Coturnix japonica: one gene and its partners. The protein of the gene in region 2 purifies or fractionates together with the protein of the main gene of each other region. This does not show direct contact. Links are inferred from orthologs where the notes say so. Each region holds a gene or a part of one and is shown on either strand. Other genes may lie near its edges. The genes, in order: EDC4, DCP1A, UPF1, PNRC1, BAG4 and DDX6.

Evidence for each region.
Region 1: the proteins of DCP1A (region 2) and EDC4 purify together in Homo sapiens (co-immunoprecipitation; 9 studies listed by BioGRID and IntAct, with this or other methods). This does not show direct contact. The link is inferred for Coturnix japonica from reciprocal best matches to the Homo sapiens genes DCP1A and EDC4.
Region 3: the proteins of DCP1A (region 2) and UPF1 purify together in Homo sapiens (co-immunoprecipitation; 4 studies listed by BioGRID and IntAct, with this or other methods). This does not show direct contact. The link is inferred for Coturnix japonica from reciprocal best matches to the Homo sapiens genes DCP1A and UPF1.
Region 4: the proteins of DCP1A (region 2) and PNRC1 purify together in Homo sapiens (affinity purification with mass spectrometry; 3 studies listed by BioGRID and IntAct, with this or other methods). This does not show direct contact. The link is inferred for Coturnix japonica from reciprocal best matches to the Homo sapiens genes DCP1A and PNRC1.
Region 5: the proteins of DCP1A (region 2) and BAG4 purify together in Homo sapiens (affinity purification with mass spectrometry; 4 studies listed by BioGRID and IntAct, counting the BioPlex papers as one, with this or other methods). This does not show direct contact. The link is inferred for Coturnix japonica from reciprocal best matches to the Homo sapiens genes DCP1A and BAG4.
Region 6: the proteins of DCP1A (region 2) and DDX6 purify together in Homo sapiens (affinity purification with mass spectrometry; 8 studies listed by BioGRID and IntAct, counting the BioPlex papers as one, with this or other methods). This does not show direct contact. The link is inferred for Coturnix japonica from reciprocal best matches to the Homo sapiens genes DCP1A and DDX6.

What each region holds. Positions count from the first base shown.
Region 1 is NC_029526.1:1,600,966-1,604,465, reverse strand, and holds part of EDC4 (enhancer of mRNA-decapping protein 4), read left to right. Parts: intron 1-189; coding exon 190-653; intron 654-1,729; coding exon 1,730-1,831; intron 1,832-2,787; coding exon 2,788-2,940; intron 2,941-3,500. UniProt on the Homo sapiens protein: In the process of mRNA degradation, seems to play a role in mRNA decapping. Component of a complex containing DCP2 and DCP1A which functions in decapping of ARE-containing mRNAs. Promotes complex formation between DCP1A and DCP2.
Region 2 is NC_029527.1:4,957,762-4,961,261, reverse strand, and holds part of DCP1A (mRNA-decapping enzyme 1A), read left to right. Parts: intron 1-498; coding exon 499-717; intron 718-2,199; coding exon 2,200-2,280; 3' UTR 2,281-3,500. UniProt on the Homo sapiens protein: Necessary for the degradation of mRNAs, both in normal mRNA turnover and in nonsense-mediated mRNA decay. Removes the 7-methyl guanine cap structure from mRNA molecules, yielding a 5'-phosphorylated mRNA fragment and 7m-GDP.
Region 3 is NC_029543.1:2,812,594-2,816,767, reverse strand, and holds the start of UPF1 (regulator of nonsense transcripts 1), read left to right. Parts: upstream 1-1,374; 5' UTR 1,375-1,639; coding exon 1,640-1,864; intron 1,865-2,478; exon of another isoform or gene 2,479-2,688; intron 2,689-4,174. UniProt on the Homo sapiens protein: RNA-dependent helicase required for nonsense-mediated decay (NMD) of aberrant mRNAs containing premature stop codons and modulates the expression level of normal mRNAs.
Region 4 is NC_029518.1:69,064,252-69,068,289, reverse strand, and holds PNRC1 (proline-rich nuclear receptor coactivator 1), read left to right. Parts: upstream 1-1,238; 5' UTR 1,239-1,240; coding exon of another isoform or gene 1,241-1,277; 5' UTR 1,278-1,385; coding exon 1,386-1,778; intron 1,779-2,364; coding exon 2,365-2,805; 3' UTR 2,806-3,544; downstream 3,545-4,038. UniProt on the Homo sapiens protein: Nuclear receptor coactivator. May play a role in signal transduction.
Region 5 is NC_029537.1:3,645,528-3,649,642, forward strand, and holds the start of BAG4 (BAG family molecular chaperone regulator 4), read left to right. Parts: upstream 1-1,315; coding exon 1,316-1,537; intron 1,538-1,614; coding exon 1,615-1,695; intron 1,696-1,906; coding exon 1,907-2,140; intron 2,141-2,457; coding exon 2,458-2,682; intron 2,683-2,994; coding exon 2,995-3,501; 3' UTR 3,502-4,115. Other genes in the region: U6 snRNA-associated Sm-like protein LSm1, read right to left, coding at 152-322, 393-508, 1,064-1,132, 1,272-1,317. UniProt on the Homo sapiens protein: Inhibits the chaperone activity of HSP70/HSC70 by promoting substrate release. Prevents constitutive TNFRSF1A signaling. Negative regulator of PRKN translocation to damaged mitochondria.
Region 6 is NC_029539.1:4,829,464-4,832,963, reverse strand, and holds part of DDX6 (probable ATP-dependent RNA helicase DDX6), read left to right. Parts: intron 1-972; coding exon 973-1,074; intron 1,075-1,712; coding exon 1,713-1,888; 3' UTR 1,889-1,892; intron 1,893-2,962; 3' UTR 2,963-3,500.

The DNA of each region.
Region 1 (3,500 bases), on a different chromosome or scaffold from region 2:
GGTGGTAGGAAAAGCCTCATTAAACGTACTGGGGCTCTTCTCCATCTGCTTAGCAGTGGAAGCACAGGGATCACATGCAGAAAGGATACAGCTGGCATTTTCCAGAGGCGGATGCCAGTGTAAGACATGGGTGTTTCTTGGGGTATCTCTGCATTACCCTGAAGTCTCCTGTTTAATTTCTCAATTCAGGTCACACCGGGAAACTCCTCTCTAGCGCTGGAGCTGCAAGAAGTGGAGCCTTTGGTGGTGCCTCAGGCATCTCCCACCCGTGAGCGTTCGCCGGACGTCATTTCCTCTGCTTCCACAGCCATGTCCCAGGATATCCCCGAGATCGCTTCTGAGACCTTGCAGCGTAGCTTTGCAGCAGCTCCATCTGCGCTCTCTGCAGAGGTGCTGGAGCCCAGTCATCACGCAGACAGTATGGCATCTGCAGCCTCAGCCTTGCATTTGCTGTCTCCAAGGAACCGGCACAATTCAGAGCACAGCCACCACTCTTTGGACATGCCTCCAGTGGAGGTGGACAGACTGAATGCTCCGTCGTTACTGGAGACCGCTCTAACTCAGGAAAATGCGTCTTTGGACAGTGTTGTGAGTCAGCCATGGCCAGCAGCTCCTGACATAACCAGAGAAACCAGGAACAGCATGGCAGACAGGTAATCACTCAGATGTGTCTTGCTTAGGATGGTTTCTTTGTGCTTTTCAAGCTGCTGGCTTGATGAAAAAGTCTCTTGTTAAAGAAGAGTTTTCCATCCCTTCTTTTCTTTAAAGAATCTGGTGATTCAACCTTTCCATGTGCCTGGTCTTTATAGGCTACATCCTGCATTTTCTAGGCCAGTTCTATCAGTTTGTGCTCTTTGACACTTTTAAGCACAAAGGATATCTGCTAAGAAGGTGAGATCTGTTTTCCTGGCCTTCATGTTTACCTTGAATAGAGACTTCAGCCGGATTTTTTACTTTTTTAGTACATTGTTTCTGGAAAGAAAGCTGGCTCAAGCTAAAATTCATCTCAAGTGATCTCCCTGTATGCTCTTATTGAAAACAGTCAGCACATAATCGACAGATTGATCATAGGTTACTTTATCTCTCTTCTGTGATTGGCTTTCTGCAGCTAGTATTATAAATAAGGTACTTTAGAAGTGAGGAAATGCAGGACATCAGCTCAGCTGAGCAGGCAGAATGGGGCAGGGTCACATAGGCCTGCTCACAGGAAGCAAACCATTACACTAGCAGCAGTGTTAGGATTCACTGCAGAATCAGTGTCCTCATCCTCTAATGGGGCTGGGACAGCGAGGTGACTCCAGAGTATCTCTAGGCTGCTGCTGCCTGCACCATAAGGGCCTTAGCACTAAGAGACTGTTGCTCAACCACACCATCAGCCTATGTTCAAGTGATAAGCATTCACTTCTGTTTGGAGATCCTGCTTGCTGAAGTCAAATAGACCTACTTTGTGGCTTAGGTGTATATGCAGTTTGCTTACAAAACTTTGGACTGAGTTCAGTGTTGCAAGAACTGAAAGACCTGGAGAAATTAGTGCCCACACACAGCACTTCTTGCTGCGCTCTGGATCTGTGCAGAGAGATCTTTTGCTTTTGTTGATTTTTGTGTTGGTTCTTCTATTACTTAATTTTCTATCTTCTGTCAGGGTCTCCCATGGGAAGCGGAGTAAGCAAATAACCAAGCTGAAAGACACTTTTCATGATGGTGTATATATGTTTTTTTCTTCCTCTAGCCCAAGAGATGAGGTTGAAGAAAAGCACAAGAGCTCTTCCTATCATCGACACAGCTACCACCTCCTGCAGCATGACAGCCAGGATGCTAGTGCAGAACAAAGGTACAGGAGTGCTCAGCCCCCTCTCTCGCCCTGCATGGACTCTTTTCAGGCTGCATTCGTGCTTCTGTCCCCAGCAAGCCTTCACACGTGGGGTGAATGTCTTTGCTTTGTCTCCTGATTCAGTGTGTGTGCCTTCCAACTTCCATAATGTTTTGGTGCCTTCAGCTGATCATGACTGACCTCTGGACACTGTCCAGCTGACATTCTGGAGGGCAGGATTTGGCCTGTACTGCTCCTAAGAGCAGGGACTGAGCTTGATTTAGTTCCCAGTGCAACTCCATTAAGGGACCTGTTCCCAAATCCCTTGCTTTAGATAAGGTAGAGGAGATATCTTAGGAGTTAGCTTCTCACTTTTGCCATCTTTACTCCCTCACGAGCCACCCTGGAGCTCTGTGGGCATGTTCTGTGTGCCTGGTGAGCTCAGAGCCATTTGACAGCTGTGAGTTCATTCACAGTCCACTCTTCAGTTTGGAGTCTGTGTTGGATGGCTTGTCAGCAGCTGAAAGAATCTGAGCATCTCCCAGTTCCTAGGCTCAACCCAATTCTCCTGCAACACTTACTGCGTTAAGTGCTCTCTCTCTGTTAAGCTCTAAGGGCGTGCTATGCTTGGGTTCCCTGCTGGGTCAGCGGTTGCATCCTAGGGCTTCTATGCTAGTGTGTGCATGCAGCAGGAAGAGGCACCAGCAGCCACTCTGCCTGAACAGCAGCTCTGAGTAATGCAGAGACCCTTCAAATCCTGTCACGCAGCACTTGAGCTCTGCCTGAGCAGGCCTGGATGAAAATGAAGTGGCCTCTGCAGAGGTCTGTGCATTAGAGATTGAATGTGACAGGTGTCCTTAACTGAGTGACCCTGGATGTGTGTGGATGCAGAGCAATGTGAACTCCCCTCCTTTTAGTGCAGGCTGACAGCGTGCTGTACTGCAAGTGATGTCCTCTCCCCTGCTGTTCCTTCATAGTGACCATGATGATGAAGTTGCAAGTTTGGCTTCTACATCAGGTGGATTTGGTGCCAAAGCATCCACGCAGAGGCTGCCTGTGAAGGACTGGAAAGCCAAGGCATCCCCTCGGGCTTCCCCAAAGCTAAAGCGGAAGGGCAAGAAAGATGACGGGTATGCTGGGCTTGCCAGGGAACTGATGGCTGTGGGACCAGCTGTGCAGGGCCTGACAGAGCTGTTAGCAGCAAGGCTGGGCTGTGGCCAGGAGCTCCCAGCCTCGGTCCAGTTTTGCAAATAGGAGCAACCCCACAGAAAGCATTGCTGGGTTCGCTTAGGGATGTGGGAGGAGGTTCTGCTTTACTCAGAGCCCAAAGTGCAGCAGAGAAATTTATGGTAGGTAAATCACAGAACTGTACATTGGTGGGGGAACACTGGATGCGTTTGCCAGCTTCATTGGAACTGTGACACTGTAGCTTAATATGGCCTCAGTTTCTGGTTGGCTTTTGAGTGCTGGCACAGTGCCCCCTGTTCAACAACATCGATCCTTTGTTACCTGCTTGCTGCTTCTGTGTGTTTCTAAACATGCCCATATGAATGTCTTGCAAGAGAAAATGGATGACTGGAAGGAGCTGCCCATTAGAAATTAGAGCAACCCGTCTGTATTAACGAGGGGGAAAGTAGCACAGCTTCTGCAAGGGGCTTTTCTCCTCTTGTGCTCTCTTGGCTCCCTGATT
Region 2 (3,500 bases):
ACCTCACAGCCTCAGAGTGGATTTCTGTAATAAAATGTCAAACAGAACTGTAGAAGGATGAGATGGGGAAGGTGACTGTCAAAATATTTTCCTGTTTTCTCACTCTCTCATCCAGTTGCCTTAGAATGAAAAAGATTGTGTGCTTGAATATTCTAATTATAGTTAATCAGTCATTTTAAAGTATCTTGAGAAGGTCTGTCTCACCTTCTGTGATATGCTAGAAAAACAAAGTGAAAAGTAGCAACTACATGGCAGTGGGTCTACATGTAAGAATACTGAAGGTTAACAGCTTCCTTAGCTTCTAAGATGAGAATTACTGTTGTCTTGTGTTAATTGGTAAATCACTTCATTGTGAGTAGCATTCCCCAATACCTTTCTGATTTACTGTAACAGTAGCTACAATTTTGAGTTTGTTTATGCTTATTCCTATAGTTTTTTTTCTAACAGCATTCATTCTTTCTGGACACAGTCCTTAGTAACTTTCTTTTCTTCCTGCAGGTTGCACCTCCGCAGTTTGTTACAGCCACAACTACAGTAACTCCTTCAATCCTCCTGTCTCCTAGTGTTTTTCAGCAGTCAACTACAAAACCTACTGAAGCAGAAAATAAAGCCAATTCTTCATCGCCTTTAACGCTTGGAACAACAGAACTTCAGACAGTACCTCCTACTGTTCTCAGTAGGTCTCAGCTTCAGGAAGCACTGATACATCTAATAAAGGTCCTGTCTGAAGAAAACTGTGAGGGGTGGGGTTACAAGTACAGTAGCCAGTATTGAGCCTTTGATTGCAAGATGGGTGACTTGCAAGGACAGAGCTCTGCTTGGTGCATTCTTTCACACACCTGTCAATTTGTGAACACTTGATGAAAAAGATACATGTACAGAAGCAGTAGTATGAGGAGGGGAGGGCTGGGTTTCTCTTGAGTGTTTTTGCTTTTCTTTGGAAAGCTTTCCTGTTGCCACTTACCTTGAACTGTTCCTGATCTTTAATTTATGTATGTTTGGAAGAAGTTACAAAAAGTTCTAATTGTACCATTCCTAGTGACTAAAAAGTTCAGTTGAATTAAATCTGTAATGCTGGGAGTAGCTAGACAGTGAGATCAGCAGTGTAGTAGAAGAGATCAGCAACAAGTAGAAGTGGCCATGGATGGCAGCCATTCTCTTAGTTCAGGATTCTGTAACTTTCTCCATGCTGATGTTGCTTGGTCTTGCACTCAAAATGCAGGTCTGAAGTAGCAAATAATATTTTCCCAATGAAAAAGTTACGATCAAAAGAGCCAACACCAGACCCCAATATCATTTTAAATTGCTTGATTTATGTGTTGTTTTTTGCATATTAGTGTGTATTTTTTCTTTTAAAGATATGAAACTAGCTTACTTGTAAGTCTTGCAACTGAGTTCAGTTGTCAGAAGTCTTTGCTGTTCTCATTAGCGATTCTCACATTAATGGTCTGAAGAATGTTGCTGTGGTGACTTCAGAGAGCTGACTGGAATAGTGTCTCTTGTCTTCTCCTTACATATAGAGATAGTTAGTTATATATAGGCAGCAGTCACTGTACCCCCACAGCACAGAAGTACTTGCAGAGTGCTCCAAGGAGAAAACATATATTCACTATATAGATTTTTGTGAAAAGAGTACTACATCTTCAGCCTAGATAATTACCTACTATCTGAAAGTGTAGGACTCAGGAAATATCTCCAAATGCTTTCTTACAGACAAAACAAGTTCACTTCCCAGTAATTCTTTAATGTGGGAATTTTTATATAACACAGTGCAATCCTTTTCAGGCTGATTTTGCAGGCAGAACTAACTCACGTGATTTTTGACACTTCTACGTCCTTTATGTGGATGTCTATATGCAGGATGGAATTTACTAAGTCTTGATGTTTTCGTACTCTTCTCAAAGAAAGTTCACTTCATGGGAGAAAGTGAAATTGTGTAGCTAGGGCTGACCTTGGAGCTGCTGGTTTTTTTTCATCTGAGTATCCATTGTGCTTAGTAATCACTTTAGTTTCATGGTTCAAAGTCTCTGCTGTCCATACAGTGCTGCCTTTTGTACAGGTAGGCAGCCAGTTCCTTTACCCTAACCCTCAGATAGACAGCAGTATATTAAAAATCTTAATAACAACTTAAACTGAGTTAAATTTTATTTATATATATATATCTTTTTACTAATGCTTCTGTTGTTTGTTTTCCTGCAGAACGATTCCCGTTTTCTCAGCACTATCCATGAAGTCTACTTGCAAGTCCTAACCAAGAATACAGACAACATTAAGCTATAATTGAAGCTAAATCTGCTTAGAATGTTACCACTTCAGAAATAATTATGCCTCATCTATAAAACTAATATTTTTTTAAAAGAATATTTAGTTTTCAATGTCTTGAATTTGAACCTGTTAGGAAAGACTATTCCTTAAGTACTTTAAGAAGGTAATGTTCTCAGAAGTGATTTAGGTTTTCACTGTGATCATCACCAGCAGACCTTTCTTTTTACTGGGGGAGGGGATTTAATTTACATATGAGCTTTCATTTGCATTTTTGATCATGCAGATGTTTGCTCTGGCTTTCGTTCCTAGCTGTATTCACCATTCAAGGATTACAGACTATGTACTACTTAAACTAGCAATGTAGTATAGTACACTACACCACACCAGAACATGACTTGGTTTTGGTTCTAAGGTGGGAGCTGAATGCCTTGTTATTAAGATGGCAGATGTGGGGAAGAGGGGGATTTGGAAGCCAGGCCTTTGTAGCTAAGCCTTTAAACAAAGGGTTTTAAAATGTGATTTGCTGAGTACTTTAGTACATTACTCTAGCTAATGCTCATCAGTTCATCTTTTAAATATTCCATTAATCTTACTGCTTCATGTTTGATAAAACAGATATCCAAGTGAGTAAGGATGTTTTCTTTAAGAATGTGGAATCAGAAATACACAAAATCTTCAATGATTACATTATTTTTGAGCAACAGGACAGGACAGTTCTGTTATAAGTTGAGGTTCTTTCAGGTTAAGTGTAGGTAAGAGACCACCACTGGAAGACTGCTTGCCTGTTCTGTAGTGTTTGATTTGACTGAAATACTTGGTTTCCCTTTTAACTTAAGGATGGACCATATGTTATTTGGATTTCATTCCTCAGTTGTGTTGTAACTGCAGTGTTGAAAACTATGCAGGTGGGGAACAATTGCATGCTCTTCTCTTGGCTTCTCCAAATTATTTGTCCATTCTTCATGCTTTAAAATTTATCTAGTTAACATGTTATTGCTTTTTATATATTATTTCATAGTTCAGTAATGTAAGTAAGAATTTGATCTCATTCTTTCCTATCTGAAATCAGAAAGATTTCTAACTATATTTTCTTATGCTGCTGGGTTGGTTTACCCACAGCTTTTTATTTCATGAAGTTATACAAAGGTAGGTAACAGAACTTCAGGTCTGAACTTTTTCCAGCAATACTGGTTTTAAAGGATGCTTTTGCAGTTTAAGAAAGAAAAAGTTTTGGT
Region 3 (4,174 bases), on a different chromosome or scaffold from region 2:
CCAGATCATTTCTGGTTTTAAGGAAATATCAATTCAGTTCACCTGTGGATGCTTTATAGTCACACTACAAGTGGGTTTAATGTAGCTGTGATTCAACTTCAGGAATCAAAAGTCTCAATGTACTGTATGAAATTATATATGGGTGTACACTTACTTACCTTGATGCCACCACATTAAATTGTAGCTGATTTGACAGTTGTAAATTTACAACCAAATTTATTTTTTCTTGTTTTTTTTTTTTGCTTAATTAACCTACTTTAATGAATTAAGATACATCTATGATTACCTACTGCTAAGTCTGTTCCTTCATAGCTTCAAGCTCAACGTGAACACAAACCATATGGAAGTAGATGCAGTGAGTCCTGTATTCTCTCCATCTTTGTTTCCCCCTCCTGTACTCAGAGCATTGAAATCTTTCCCAATCCTCATTTCAATCTTTTCAGCTTCAAAGCTTTAAATGTGGCAGATGTTGTTTCCATTCCAAGCTTTACCCTGCAACAAAAGCAAGAACAGAATTAAAGTCACTTAAAAAACCAACGTTCACGTGCATGTTATGGCTGAAGGTTTCAATAGAGAAAACACAACAATATTTTCTCTATTTTCAATATATTTGCAATATTTTCAATATTGTTTTCTCTATTTTTTTATTGTTTTTCTCTATTTTCAATAGAGAAAATAGCTTCTCCTATCAGCACTTCTCACAACACCTGGGTGTTACCTTAAAAGACATGAGTGTGATGCTAATTGAATTGATGCTAATTGAAGTACATTGAGGGCATATAAAGCCCAAATGAGCACTTTATTTACGGCCTGACCATATACTGCTCATACCCACACAACACAGGGAGCCTCACAGGCCGCCCTGCTCCCATTCAGCCCCCAAGTACCACAGCCACGCAGGGCAGCTTAGATACGATGGATATTACAGCTGGAGCAGGTGTTTCTATAACACCAGAGCCTTCTTAATCACCTGCTTCAGAACATTACAGTATACCTCCCCACCACAGACACAACACCTCGCTGCCACAGCAGATCTGAGGTAGATCTTAAGGCTGCCACCGCAGCCCGCCCTTCTCCTCAGCTCGAGGGCTCATTGGCTGAATCAGCAGTCAATCATCAATCAGGCCCCGCCCCCTCTCGGTAGAGCCCATTTTGTAGTGGGGGGGGGTGCAACCCCTCCTTTAGGCTCGAACTGACAGCGCCCGCACCGCGTCCTCCCCTCAATCCCCCCCCACACTTCAGGTGGTTCGCTCCCCTCTTCGCGCCTTCCGCGCGTAGCCCCGCCCCCTCACGCCGTGCCCTCCCAGGTGTGTGCGTGCTGCGTCACCCGCCCACGCGCACGGGGCGTGCTGGCGTCCGCTGCGCGCTCCGCGTCACCGCTCCTGGCCTGGCCTGGCGCGCGGTGCGGCCGGACGGTTCCTCTCTCAGCTCCTCCGGGGACTCTCGGTTCCCTCCTTCGGCTCCTTCCTCCCGTCGACTCGGAGCCGCCCGAACGGGGCGTCGGGGGATTCTTTAAAGGCCGGTTTTCCGGGGTGCGGCCTAGTGCTCGCGGCTGATCCCGCCGCTGTCGTAGCGCGGCGCCCGGGCTCCGTGAGGCGCGGCCCGGCCCGAAGCGCCGCTTCTCTTCTCTACCGCCGCCATGAGCGTGGAAGCGTACGGCCCCAGCTCGCAGACCCTCACCTTCCTGGATACGGAGGAGGCCGAGCTGCTCGGTGCCGACACTCAAGGATCCGAGTTCGAATTCACCGACTTCACCCTCCCCAGCCAAACTCAAACCCCGCCCGGAGCCGGGCAGGCGGGGCCCGGCCAGGCCCAAGGAGCTCCGGGAGCGGGGCAGGGCCCTGCAGGCCCCATCGAGGCCCAGGTGAGGCCGAGCCGCGGGGTGAGGGGGGGGAGCGGGGTGGGGTGAGGCGGTGCCGCCACCGGGGGGAGCGCGGAAGGGGCGGGCGGGTGTGGGGCCGAGCGGGGAAACACTGGGCGGGAGGCGGAAGGAGGCGGCGGGGCCTACGGTTAAATGTCGTGATAGTGTCGTGATAGTCGCGATATCGCCGTGCATATCCCGATAGTCGCGATATGGAGCGAGGAGCGCTGCCCAGGAGGGAGGATTTGGGTTTGTTTTCTTGTTTGAGTTACGAGGTGTTGAATGTTGTGAAAACGGAGCGTTCCTTCCCAAGAGATCCTTCTTGCCTTTTTGCCACCGGTTGCCAGGCGGCTTTGTTTGTTGGGGTTGTAGGGCAGTGACAGCCCATAGCGCCCCATTGGTGTTGGTTGGTGTGCGGAGCTGGTCGAGGCTGAGAAATAGGAGTATTCTTAACGCTGCCTGATGAGGGCCGCGTTTCTGGTTTAAAAAGTTCCCAGATGCGGAAGGAAAGAGGGAACTGGGGCCGTGCAGCCAGAAACCAAGAAGTGTTGTAAAAGGAAACGCTGCTTGATTGACTAAAGCAAGAAAAAAGAAGCCCAAAAACACCTGAGAGGCTGTTTTGTGCTCTGTTTAGAGCTGGACTGCTTTTGTATATCTTAGGATATATTGTTATATTAAGTGATCTCAGCGTTAACAATTGTTTGTAAATTGCGTTCCAGGATGTGCCTTTAGAGGAGTTGAAGTGCTGTAGATCAAAGCTCTTCATCCTGCTTCAAAAACACTTGGGGGGGGATTCAGTTCTTTAACTTCATTTTTCCAAGGCTGATCTGTAAATGACACAGAAATGAGCAAACTTAGAGCAGTGAATGGCTGGCAGCCTTCAGGTGTGCAGTGCAGGTGGGCCCAGATATGGTGCTGTGTTGGAACTCCCTTTAGGGCAGTGTTCATGGTGTGGAATTAGAGCTGAGCTCCCGTGGGCTGTTTGCTTTGTTGTGTGTTGACTTGTAGCTCTGTTGGGGCAAAACAGCCCTTTTTCCCGTTTGAATTGCAGTTGTTAAGCGGTTTGTTTGTAGTCAGTGTTATGTGTTAATTGATTAAAAAGATATTAGGATTGAAATCCTAGTTTTTAAAGCTCTGATCATTCCAGAACTCTCAGTATAGAGGTGCCTAGACAGAAGAGGAAGAAAAACCACCCCAAAATGAGTCTATGAGTGTAAAAGATGAGGCCAGAGGATTGCTTCTCTTTTTGTCTAAACATGTTTGAAAAGCCTTTGAAGTAAGAAGGGGAAAAAGGAAGATGTGGGGAGCACATCCAGGTATGAGCGTGTCTGTAAGCATCCGTCCTGGCAGGCAGGAAGCAGAGGATGTTGGTAATGGCTGGGAATGGCTGAGTGCTTTTAGTTCAGGGCAGAGTTTTGCAGTTATCCCCATACTCTCTGAATTTGGGATGGGGGAAGCTGTTCCAACAAGGACTCAGGAGCACAGTGAGTGTGATGTTGGAGCTCATTGTAACCCAACAGCCCCTGCTCTGTTTGGACCTTTGCTTTTCAATGTTCTCATCAGCACTGAGATCAGAAATAGACCATTTGAAGGATTCTCAGGGAGGTTTTACTACCTTGAATAGATGATGTGAGCTCGTTAATGCCTTTTGGAAGGAACACGGCTAAATTTAAGCCTCACAGGTTGCATACGTTTTTGCCTAGCTTAAGTTTTTACTGTGATTGTGAGTAAATCTTATCCTGATAAACATTGAAGGGATATTAACTCCCGTTCCATTTTCTGATGCCTTTTTTGTACCCTGTGGACTGAAATAAGATGAGTTGAGCAGTGCAGATCCCTTCATTTCTTCAGAAAATGGGGTTCATTGAACGTTGAAAGCTTTGTTCCTCAGCATATTCTTAACTAATAGCTTAAGAGGATGCTGTTAGCACAGATTAGTGCCTGAGTGACAAAAGGCAGGCAGAGGTTAAGCAGTGCAGGAGCAGCGCCTGCTGTTTTCTATAAGCAATGGAAATACAGTTTTCTGATGATTAAGACAAGCTAATTAGCATATTTGATTTGGATTAAGATAAATTCTGATCGTTTCCACGGCGTTTCCCTGCTCCCTCAGGCCAGGACTCAGCTCTGGTAAGGAGGAGGAAGCACATTCTCCCATGCTCTTGCTGTGAGTCCATTTGGTGGCTGCCCTGAGCATGGGGAACCGTTGTGAAACAGCTCAGTCTGTGCTGCTGTGAGGCTGGATGCTCTCAGTAACGCGCCTTCCCTTGTTTTGAAAGGCAGATCAAACAAGCACAGCATATTATAAGGCGCTGC
Region 4 (4,038 bases), on a different chromosome or scaffold from region 2:
TTCCAAGCCCTCAATAAATAGAAAGCGTAAGGCGTCAGGAGTCCAAATTCTTTAATGGAGTTAAAGCGACGTGCAGCGCTTCAGCTGAGCGCTCTCCCTCCGAAGACAGATTAGGGTCGGCTCGGCCTTCAGCTCTGCGGCCATGCGGAGCGCAGCGCTACTTGCACAGCCCCTCGAGGCGCTCCAACGTGCCCTTCATGTCTCGGATGCGCTTGGCCAGCGCGGGCACGGGCTGCATGGCGCGGTCCAGCTCCTCGCAACGCGCCACCAGCGCGTACATGGCGCGGATGCTGAGGTCGGCCGCCTCTCCCAGGCTCTCCACGCCGTCGCGGTACGTCTGGATGCAGCCGACGCTGAGCGCCGTGAGCGCCTGCAGCCCGCAGTGCACGTTGCGCAGCAGCTCGTCCACCTGCGCCGCCACCTGCCCGGCCAGCGCCACCACGTCCTGCAGCGCCCCGGGGTCGATGGCGGGGATGGAGCCGGCTCCTCCCGCCGCCGCCGAGTGCTGCTCTGCCCGCGGGACGCCGCTCAGCCGGATCCTCCGCTCCAGGTTGTTGGCCACGAACTGCGTGAGCCGCCCCTCGCGCAGCACCGTGCCCTCCAGCTCCAGGGCGCTCGCCAGCGTCGCCCTCCGCCCCTCCGGCAGCTGCCGCCCGTCGGGCAGGGATCGCCCTGACACCGCTCCTCCGGCGGCGGCCAGGCTCAGCGCCTCCAAGCTGCGCTGGTCCCGGCTCGCTCCGTCGTCGCCCGGCGGTCCCGCAGCGGCACTAGGCCGCGCCGCCATGACGGGCCCGGCCGGGTACGCGCCTCCACCCCCGTCGGGGGGCGCTTGGCCGCCTGTTTACGTCGCTTCCGATTGGCTGAGCGGCTCGAGGGGGCGGGGCCGACGCCGTTAGCGCCGCTCCCGATTGGCTGTTGTCGCTCAGCAGGGGCAGCGCTCGCCCCGTCCGTTCGCTTGGCGTTTCCAGCCCGTGACTCGGAGCCTGGGCCGTGCCCGCTGTTTGTGTCCGCTCCCATTGGGCGGCCTGCGGAAGCGGGCGGAGCCGCGAGTGTTTGTGTCGCTTCCGATTGGTCGGGGCGGGACCGGAGCCGCGGCCGGTCGGCTGCGATTGGCGGAGCCCGGCGGAGAGGCGCGCCGCTCTCCCCTTTCTCGCGCGGCGATTGGCTGGAGGGCGGAAAAGGGCGTGTCCATCCCGTGTAACAACACAGGGCGCCGCCGGCCGCTCGGCTCACTCCCCGCCATGTTCTCCTAGCGGCCGATCCCACCGCGACACCATCTCAGCCCACAAAGCCCGGGCCGACAGCCCACAGCGACCCGAGCCGCTCGTCCCCTACCCGGGCTCGACCCCTCTCCCGTTCACAGCTCTGGGTACCCACGTCCCACCATGGTTACCAGCACGGCGCCGCCGCCCTTCCTGACCCGGATCTCGGCGGGCACCGAAGACCCCCGTCGGCTGCCCTCGACGCTCCTGCAGCACCTCAGGCGGGGGGACGACAACTGTGAGAACCAGCCCGGCTGCTGCACAACGGGGCCGGGGGGCGGCGCGCGGCCCGCGCTCAAGAGGGTGAGGAGGAGGAAGGGCAAGATCCGGCCGTGCCCCGCGGGGCTCCTGCCCAGCCGCTACCAGCAGTTCCAGCAGCACCGCGCCGGGCTGGCCAGGAGGACGGCGCTGGGCGCTCCCGTCGCCTCGGATATCTCCACCGCTCCCGGCTTCGTGCCGACCCCCGCCGAGGAGTCCCTCGCACCCACCCCCTCCAGACCCGCCCTCAGGAAGGAGGTAAGAAGGGGCTCGGAGACTTTGGGACTTTAATCAAAGCGCTTCGTTCCCTGCTCGGTTGGGGTGCGGGGCAGGGGGCGGCACACCCCCCTCCCCTGCGCTGTGTGAGGGGCGGGGGAACTGAGTTTCCGTTACGTTCGTTGTGTGCGGGGAGAAGGGGGGGGGGGGACGAGTGGAATCGCGGCCGGCGATTGGCTGCTTTCCTCCACCAATAGGAGGCCGCCGTTGCGCCCAGCAACAGCCGGATTTAGCCTGCTGGCAGCGCGCCAGCTGCCCCTGCGCGCGGAGGCGGGACGTGCGGGGCGCGCAGCGCCACATGGCGGGCGGGGCGGGAGGTGAAGCCCCCTGTGGAGCAAGTGGTAGAAGTGCCGCTCTGCTACACAGGGCTCGAACCCCGGGGGTTGGACTCGATGATCTCTGAGGTCCCTTCCAACCCGCACCAGACTGTGAGGGGTCCGAGGGGGCGCTTAGTGACGGACCCGTTGTAAAGACGCGGGGAAGCCTGGCCCTTCCAGGCTCGTTGCCACGGGCGCCTCTGGAATCCAGAGAGGGATCGTGTGCTGACGCGAATTCTTTGTCTCTTCAGTTCTTGAAGAACAAGATGGGAAAGACTGAGAAGGCTGCCACTCCCCACGGCCAGCCCGTTCACGGTTTACATCTGTGTGAACAGCCAAAGATGAACAGGCAGAAGGGTAAATGTAACACGCCAATGACAAAGATTGCCTCGGCGAAAAAGATTGAGAACTTTTGGCAAGATTCGGTCCCGCCGGAAAACGTTCAGAAGCAGGAGAAAAAGCCACTTAAAAACACAGAGAACTTCAGAAATGCCAAGTCCAAGAAACCCGTCACCCTCACAGATGCGAACCAAAAAGAAAACTATGCCGGGGCAAAATTCAGTGACCCGCCATCCCCTAGTGTCCTTCCAAAGCCCCCCAGCCACTGGGTGGGGGGCACAGCTGAGCTGTCTGACCAAAACAGGGAGTTGATGGCTGTCCATCTGAAAACTCTCCTCAAAGTTCAGGTGTAGTTTCCGAGCTCTTCTGAATATGAAGCAAAACTCCATCCGAGGAAACTTACACATGCCTTGTTGCAAACAAACAAACAAAAAAAAAACTAAAAAAAAAAATTAAAAAAAAAAAAACAACCCACAAACGAAAGACTGTCAAGTCTTATACTCGCATACAGAATTCCTTGTATTATATTTTTTATGGTTGTGTAAATAGTGTACATCATGTATTATGTGTATATTCTTGTTGATACTTTGAGAGGTACATTTTAGTTTTGTTATGAAAGGATGTATTTTGCACTGCCTGAGTGGTAGATGTCTTGTATATATATATACACAACATGGACAGTTTTACGTGTGTGCTTGACACATGAAGACTTGACTTGATTTGCACAAGGTAAATGAATATTCTGAACGGAGAGTACAGCTTGCTGACGTTAAGGTTCCAGATCAAATGTGAATGGTTTATTCATGCACTGCTGACAATAGTTCTATGTTCTGTGTCCCAATCAAGTACAAACATGGAATTTTCTTACAAATGTGAATTTTCTGCTCTGGAAAAAAAAAGAAAAAACAGTATCTGGAATTCCTGTTTATCTGTTTGTAACAAAATTAACTGGAATTTGAGTAGAATTCCAAGCCATCACGTTGAGCACTGCTGATTTCTTTTAAGAGAACAAAAAAGAAAAGAGCAGAGCTTCCTGCCATCAATTTAATTGGTCACTAAAAAAATTAAATAAAACAATTTGGCCTCCCCTAAGGTCACGTCTCTGTTTTTCTTGTGTGTGTGTCTTCAAGTGTTTGAACTGAAGTTGCTGCTTTTTTGTATGTGTAACTGATATTTCTTTTGTCCTTGTCATTCTTTAGTTATCCAAGTAGCGAAGAGATCCAATAGCTCACAGAACCTGCCCCAGTGGCACAGTGGTAGAAGGGCCGCTTTGCAAACACTGGAGGCCTGGGTTTGAATCCCCCCTGTGGCACAAGTGGTAGAAGTGCCGCTCTGCTACACAGGGCTCAAATCCCAGGGGTTGGACTCGATGATCTCTAAGGTCCCTTCCAACCCACATGAGGCTGTGATACTGTGATCTCTGGGCATTAGCTTATGAGGAAGGTTAGGTTATGTAAGTGGAAAACAACCAGTAGGGTCCTAAGTGTTTCCTTTCTTAGCACGCTCAGTAGAGAACCAGCGTTCAGCTGTATTTGTGTTAAGTATTGCTGGTTCTGGTGTGTGCGCTCACATTGTAGACCTTGTAT
Region 5 (4,115 bases), on a different chromosome or scaffold from region 2:
AGAGACCTTCATCTCTGAACAGAAATTGCTGCACCCCCCGGAGCATCCAGTTACCTCCGAGGGTTCCCCATTGCCATCACTCCTTTTTTCCCCTCAAGGGGGAACAGAAGCCATGATTTCAGTGCCTGCACCACTCAGCATTGCCATCCCATCAGTACTCATCCAACGTGTCAGCCCTGGGCACCGCCAGGCCTCTCTCCTTCAACGCCTGCACCTTCAGCTTCTCCGACTCCTGCTTGGCTTGCAGCTCCAACCTTTGCTCCTCCAGGATCTCCTCGATGGAAACCTGCTGCAGCAACGTGTCGCTCTCCTTCTCCAGGTCCTGCAAAGCAAAGAGCTGTTGTTAAGCAGAGCTGCAGGGTGAGGGGCTGCAGGGCACGGGGCTCACTCACAATCTCCCCCAGCAGCACCACGTTCTCCCCTCTCACAACGAAGATCCCTCGAGGGATGTCCCCATATTTCTTGCCCACGTGAATTCGCTCCACTGTCTGATGCAGCACCAGGTTGGCTGTGGGGATAGAGAAAAAAACACCCCGTTTTTAACCAGTTTTTTACCAAAACCACCCAGTTTTTCACCAAACAGAGCACCTCACCTGAAACAACCCATAGCCTAAAGCATAGGGAGCAGCTGGATTGCATTATAGCACTATAATCCTATATGCTGAGCATCCCCTAAACAACATGATCCCCCAAACCCAGCCACTATAGGACCCCAAAGCAGCCACTACCTATAGCTGATAAAGGGATCCCTGGTGCTATAGGGTAAAGAATGAGGGGCTCAGCTATAGGCACAAGTGAATGGGGAAGGGGGGAAAGGGGGGTAGGGAGAAGAGGGGTAAAGGGAGGTAAAGACTGGGGGGCTCAGCCATAGGCACAAGTCAATGGGGGGATGAACTTAGTGCTGCCCTAAGGGGGGAATATAACATGGGGTGGGGGTCCAACATGACAAGGGATGGGGGAACCACAAACTGGGTTCCTATCGGAGCCATATGGGTTCTATTAAGCCCTGATCCGGTGTCGTTCCCGGTGCTGCCCCCCCTATCCCCCCCCATTATATCCGTACCGAACTGATCGATGCTGCGTAGGAATCCGATCAGCGTCCGGCCGTCCCGCAGCAGAACCAGGTGTTTCTCTATGGGGAAAGGGATCAAGCGGGGGTACGGAACATCGGTCCCAATGGGAACCAAGGGGAAAACCGGGGTCCCCCGCGTCCGGGTCCCGGTTTTCCCCTTGGTTCCTTATTGAATGAATAGAACCTCGGTCACACTCACTGTCAATGTCCTGGATGAGGCTTGCAGTACCCGGCATGTAGTTCATGGTGGCGGAACCGCCCCACGTTGGGCGGTACTTAGCGATGCACTGTCCCTTTAAAAGCGGCGCCGGTAGTGCGAGCGGGGCTGCCTTTCATTGGTTACATCCAGGGGTCCTCGCATCCTATTGGTCGCATGGTGGGGGCCTTTTATCCTTGTGTCGCGCTGTGGGGTGGGCTACAGCGTGCCGGGTTGAAAACATGGAGCACCGCGGTCGTACCGGGCAGGTAAAGGGGGGGGGGGAACCGAGCACAGCCCGTTATCCCGTTATCACTGCTCCATATAATGGGGTTTTTCCTTATAGGAGCCACCAGGCCCCGGCTTCAACCCCGGTTATTGGAGCCCAGCGTTCGGTTTTGGGGCCTACACCGACGGAGCGGACTCGGTATGTTGGGTTTGGGGGATGAGGGTCCATTTCCATCCCCCTCCCGTCCATTAAGGCTTTGACCGAGCTGTGCTTCATTTCTATGCCATAGGATACAATGGGCTTCAAGCCCCACTTGTTTCCTACAGCTCAGTACAGAAATAACCCATTAAATATCCTAACACACATTTCAGCTCATTTTCTTTCTCTTTTTCCCTTTTCTCCTCCCCAGGCTATGGACTCACCCTACACCAACGGATCCTACAGCGCCCCATACCCTCCCCATTACACCTCACTGCCACAAACACGAACCTACAGCACTTCAGGTCCATCCTACAGCACCGACAGCTCAGCCCCATATCGACCCCCCCCTCCTGCCCCTCCCTGGGGCTGTGGCACACAGGACTGCCCAGCAGAGGGATGCTCAATGCGCAGGCAAAAGGCTGCTGGGTATTCCCCACCGCAGGTAAGAAACCATTTAGGGTGTGCACAGCAAAGCGAGAGCTCCTGTGCTGCTCACCCCATAGAGGGTGAACCCACAGTGCACCCTAATTGGGCCCAAATGGCTTCTATGTCCCACCCAGCTCGCCCTGCTTGCTCTTGTAAGAACTTGGAGTTGCCCCTTTCTGCTGGGAGCTCTGAGGTCACGAGCTTTGGAGCAGAAAGCAGCAGCAGTCCCAGTGCTGGGGCTCATCCCAGTGCTGGGGCTCATCCCAGAGCTTCCTTCTGCCACAGGCATTGGGAGCTGACTTAGGACTTACATCTGTCCCCCTCTCCCCACAGACCCCAGGGATGCCCGTTCCTCAGTATCCATATGGAGACCACAGCCCCGGGGCCAACCCACAGCCCAGGGCTCAGGAGGAGGCGTGGGCTCCCCCTCACTATGGGGTGCAGGCACGGTATGCATGGCCTGCAGCTCCAGCACATGGGAATCCATTCCTCTCTGAATCACAACCACCCTGGACTGGCAGCAGGACTGCAGCTCATCCTCCTGTGTGGGACTCGAAGGTACAGTGATGCTTTAATGGCTCTGACACAAAGATTCTGGCTGTAGCCAGAGCTCAGCTCATGCTGCCTTCCCCCGCAATACACACATGCAGCTGCTCAGTGCTCCTTTCTCCAAGCACAGTTTGCTTCCAGGAGACAAAAACAAAGCAGCGGTTCTAAGTACTGCCAGCAAAATCACCTGCTTATATATCCAAACTGCCATTGAAGAAAGCACTGGAGATAGCAGACCCTGAGAGGCGGGTCTTGAAGTGGAGCAGATCTCATTTAATGCCTCTGTAATGTAGACTCTTTTTTTTCCCCTTCTGATTGTAGGAATCTGCTTATGACAAACCTGATCCGAGTGCAAACCAACACTGCTACTATTCTGACAGCAATCACCAGCACCCTGGGACAATGAATGACCACAAACCACCCTCCCTGCTGCATAACTCCAAGTCATCTCCCTCCAACCCCAAGGTACAATACAGTGCACAGCCCCAGATGTACAACAGTGCAACTCGGAGGCAGCTGGCTGGGAACCAGGAGGCAGGTTGCAAAGCTGGCAATCACACTGCAATGAATTCTGCAGCCATCCAGCCAGAGATACAGAGGATCCTACAGGTCACAGAGCAGGCTGAAGAGTTAGAACAAGAGGTGGATGAATTTGTAGGGAAAAAGACAGATAAATCCTACAGGCTTCTGGAGGAGATGCTGACCAAGCTGCTGTTAGAACTGGATTCCATTGAGACTGGTGGGCAGGATGGTGTCCGACAGGCCAGGAAAGAAGCTGTCCATAGAATTCAGGCCATACTGGAAAAACTGGAAAGGAAAGGATTGTGAAAGCAAATCAGCCACAATGCAGCCTGTTGTGGAGGTTCCAAAGAGTTAATCCAAATCTCAGCTCTTTCTGCTAAGCACTACTGATAATGAGAAAGCAATAAGACTTGATTGAAAAGAAGAAACAACCCTAAACCCACAGGAAAGCCCAGCCCCGACCAACAGCTCAGCATTGGACCAATGAAGAGAAGATGAAAGCAGCAAATTGAGTTGTTTGCTCTGGGATGTGAAGAAGCAGCACCACCTGAAGGTGTTTAGCACTGGGTTGTCTGTGTCCTTCATCCAGCAAGAAGAAAATCACTGCACAAAGTTCCCCAAACCGGGTCCAAATCCACCCAAATCCATGGTACCTCGTGGAGCCACAGCTGCAGCACTTGTCACATGCATCACCATAAATGAAGGTCCATCAGTGCGTGTGCTTTCAGCTTCAGATCCCTTACCCACAAAAGCTGGTTTGTGTCATCCCGGGGTTCTCTTTTTGTTTCCAATGCGCTCCCTGTAGCTCTGCTGATGTGAAGCTGTTCTGTGATGCCGTGTGGATGTGGGAACATAGCCTGGAACTCTGAGTTTTTCACCTGGAAAAGCCAGTTGCAGGCAGAGCCGTGCAGCCCTGGACA
Region 6 (3,500 bases), on a different chromosome or scaffold from region 2:
ACTGCTTAGTGATAAAACTAATCTGTTTTAGTAAGAGAATTTTTGTCATACCTGTGTGTAGCGGGCTGCAGTGCTCCTGTATTGCAGAATGACCCGGGTTGGAAGGGACCTCAAGGATCATGAATCTCCAACTACCCTCCCCCGCCACAATCAGGGCCACTAACTTCCTCATTTAATACCAGCCCAGGCTGCCCAGGGCCACATCCAACCTGGCCTTGAACACCTCCAGGGTCGGGGCAGCCACAGCCCACATACCACTCTCAGAGTAAAGAACTTCTCCCTGACATCCAGCCTAAATCTGTAGGCATACAGGCTTTCTCTTTTTGGCAACCTGTGGTGGTGCAGCTTGCTAACAAATCCTTTCATTGTGATGATAATTTGTACTTCAGTTATGTTTTCTTTATGTTCTAACATTTGAGTGTCCTATAAATTGTTGGATATGAAATAGTAGAAGAACTGTAGGTAGAACTGTGGCTAGCATTATTGAATAATGATTTACTGATTCTTCATCACTTCCCAAATGCTTTGCAGTTCTGATTGGTCTGTATATGGCCTGAGTTGTATCTTGGCTGCATTACTAAAACTCACTTGAAATGAAACAGAGATAGTTCAGTTGATGGGACGTAGCTCACATTTCAAGTCTGTTGTAAAATGACAGTGTGTGCCTTATTTGATAAGATGCTTATATAAAGCTGACCGGCTCAAAAATAGTGCAAAAACTGGCTTCATGAGAATTATTTTTTTTACCTAGAACTGAAGATTTGATGTCTTGATCATTCGGTTTTTATTATGCTTAACATGGATAAAGAGCAGGAAGAGGCTGTAACAGAATTTATGTCAAATGTTTTGATACACAGAAAGGGCTTGTCTTTAGAAACTAGTGCTAACCAACATTCACAAAGGCTAAATTTCCCAGCCCAGCATTAGATTTCATGGAAGTTAATGTTCTTCATGACTTGTGTTGTCTTTCAGATCTGTTTACCCGAGGTATTGATATCCAAGCTGTGAATGTGGTGATAAACTTTGATTTTCCAAAGCTGGCAGAGACTTATCTCCATCGTATTGGCAGATCAGGTGAGAGGAAAAACATGTTTTAGGGACAGCTTTGCTGATAATTGTAATATTCCTTATGCTTTGATTGGGTTCTGCTTTCTATCACTGTACTGATAATTATTTGGAATAGCTTTTTTTCTGATGTTTACTTACAGGGATGATGGCATAGGATTTTCTTCACAAATACCTGAGTTAATGGCCGTGCTCTTTAAATGAGCTTGAAGAGCCTAGGCCAAAAATAAAAAGAAAATGAGGGAAAAAAGCACCTTTTGCTTTAATTTCATGGAACTCGCCAATGCTTATTGTTTGCAGTTTAGGAAGATTCTATATTGAAAACTTAATTTCTGTGTTTTTTAAAGCATAGTGTGTTTTGTTTGTTGTTCTGCTTGTGCTCCAAAGTTTGTTTCTGATGTCTGGACAGCTTCCAGATATATCCCTGATGATGACAGTGAAGAGTGGAACTCTGTTTACCTCAAGTTCCACACTGCAGTAGTGGAAGACTTTTACTTGGTAGTAGAAAGTCCTTATCAGATGTTGATGTGAAGCTTGCAGGGGTCCAGGTTGACTTTTATAATGAGAAAGCGATGTTAATAACACCTGCAGAATCTGCAGGCTTTTCATTTAACCTCCTGTTACTCAGTTTAAATTTCTTTTTTGAGGTCGCTTTGGACATCTTGGCCTGGCCATCAACTTGATCACCTACGATGATCGATTCAACCTGAAAAGTATTGAGGAGCAGCTGGGAACTGAAATAAAGCCCATACCAAGCAACATTGACAAGAGCCTTTACGTGGCAGAATATCACAGTGAACCTGTAGAAGATGAGAAACAGTAACCATGTGCGTATGTGCTGACTTGAGTAGTTGTGTTGGAATGTCATTGTGGGGGAAGAGGGGAAACTGATGTGCTGAAGAGTCTTGGAATGTGAAAACAAAGGTTTGAAATAGGCTGTCAGAGGAGATGAGGAGAATCCTGCTTGGTGACAGGATGGCTGTGAGCAGCCTAATGAGTTCTTTCTGTATTTCTTAGCTGAGCAGTAGGGGCAGAAAGTGATTATCAGGAAGGTGAGGAGTGAAAAATAGGTCTCTTAAGAACATAGCACCAACAGAACAGCCTGTTCATCTCAGCAGCTGAGAGGAGCAGGTTCAAGCCATAGGTGCCTCATATTTGTTTTGCATTCTTTGATTCATAGAACTTCTGCAAGTAAGCTGAGTAGGTAGCAGAGCTGTAATTCATCTTCATTGCCACTTGAGGTCTACATAGCATTAAAAGAAAATGAGGCTTCTCTGGCAAGGACTTTGGAAGTGTGACTTTTTGATTGCTGTCTGAGGGGAAAAAAAAGGCTGAGTCAGTTCACAATCCAAGGAAGCTGTTATTCTCACAGCAAATAGAGGGTAATATTTCATCTGTTACTAGCTGAGATGCTACAGACCATTTGGGTTGAAAGGAGTTTTGTAGTGCATCTTGTCTTAGAGATCATGAATTAAGAATTCTAATGAAGCTGCTGCAATTACTCTCAGTTAACAAAAAAATTGCCAAAGAAACAGTCTGTTAATTAAAATGAGAATTAAAGCAAAACCTGTATCTCTTTGGAATAACTCAAGGCTAGCCCCAGCCAGCTGGTCATGTCCAGGTGACTTGTGGCCTCTGCTTTGCTGGCTGAGCTTTCTCCATGTTTTAAAATAAATAAAGCAAATCAAACTGTGAAGCTGGGCAAGGTCCTTGGGCGGCTTCCTTGGGGGGAGAAGTTGGGTCATAGTGGCACATCAGAGGGACAGTTCTCGAACTGCATCCAATGCCGGCGGCTTCTCAGGAGCTGCCCTGCAGTCAGCATGATTCATTTCTTAGCTCTGTGCAAAACCAGAACCTGACTTAATTGCAGGTGTTATTTGTGTATTTATATATTCAGGCTTTGACTACATATGCCAGAAGGTGAAGCCCTTTGATCCACATCTGTGACACATCATTTCTCTGGGGATACCCTTCTCTTTGTGGGTTTTTCTTCGTCTTTTCATTTTGGAACTATGAAGACTAAAGAGCTCGGCCTTTTTTCTTTTCAAATTTGGCAGCAAGGAAGAAAGAAGATGAAAGGAGGAATGGCTTTTTGTTTTTCCACTCGTTTGCACTGTGTGCTGATTGAACATTAGTTGCACTAACTGCTGGTTTTAAATTGTTTTTTCTTTGGGTGGGAGGGGCAGCAAGGGAAGAAGAGAAACCCTGAAAAGAGAAGAATCTTTGAACACGAGCTTGTCTGCGATTTCAAATTCTCCAACCATCTACTGAGTGCATTTCAACTTCTCCCTGGTTACTCATCTGTTTTTAAGCTAAAGAGCTTCTTACTTATTCGTGCAAAGTGCCTTATGCTATGAGACCATTCAGAACATCACCTTTCCGACACAGCCCGAGGAATCAACAGCCGTTTTTGGTTTCAGGTCAAAGTTCCCCTC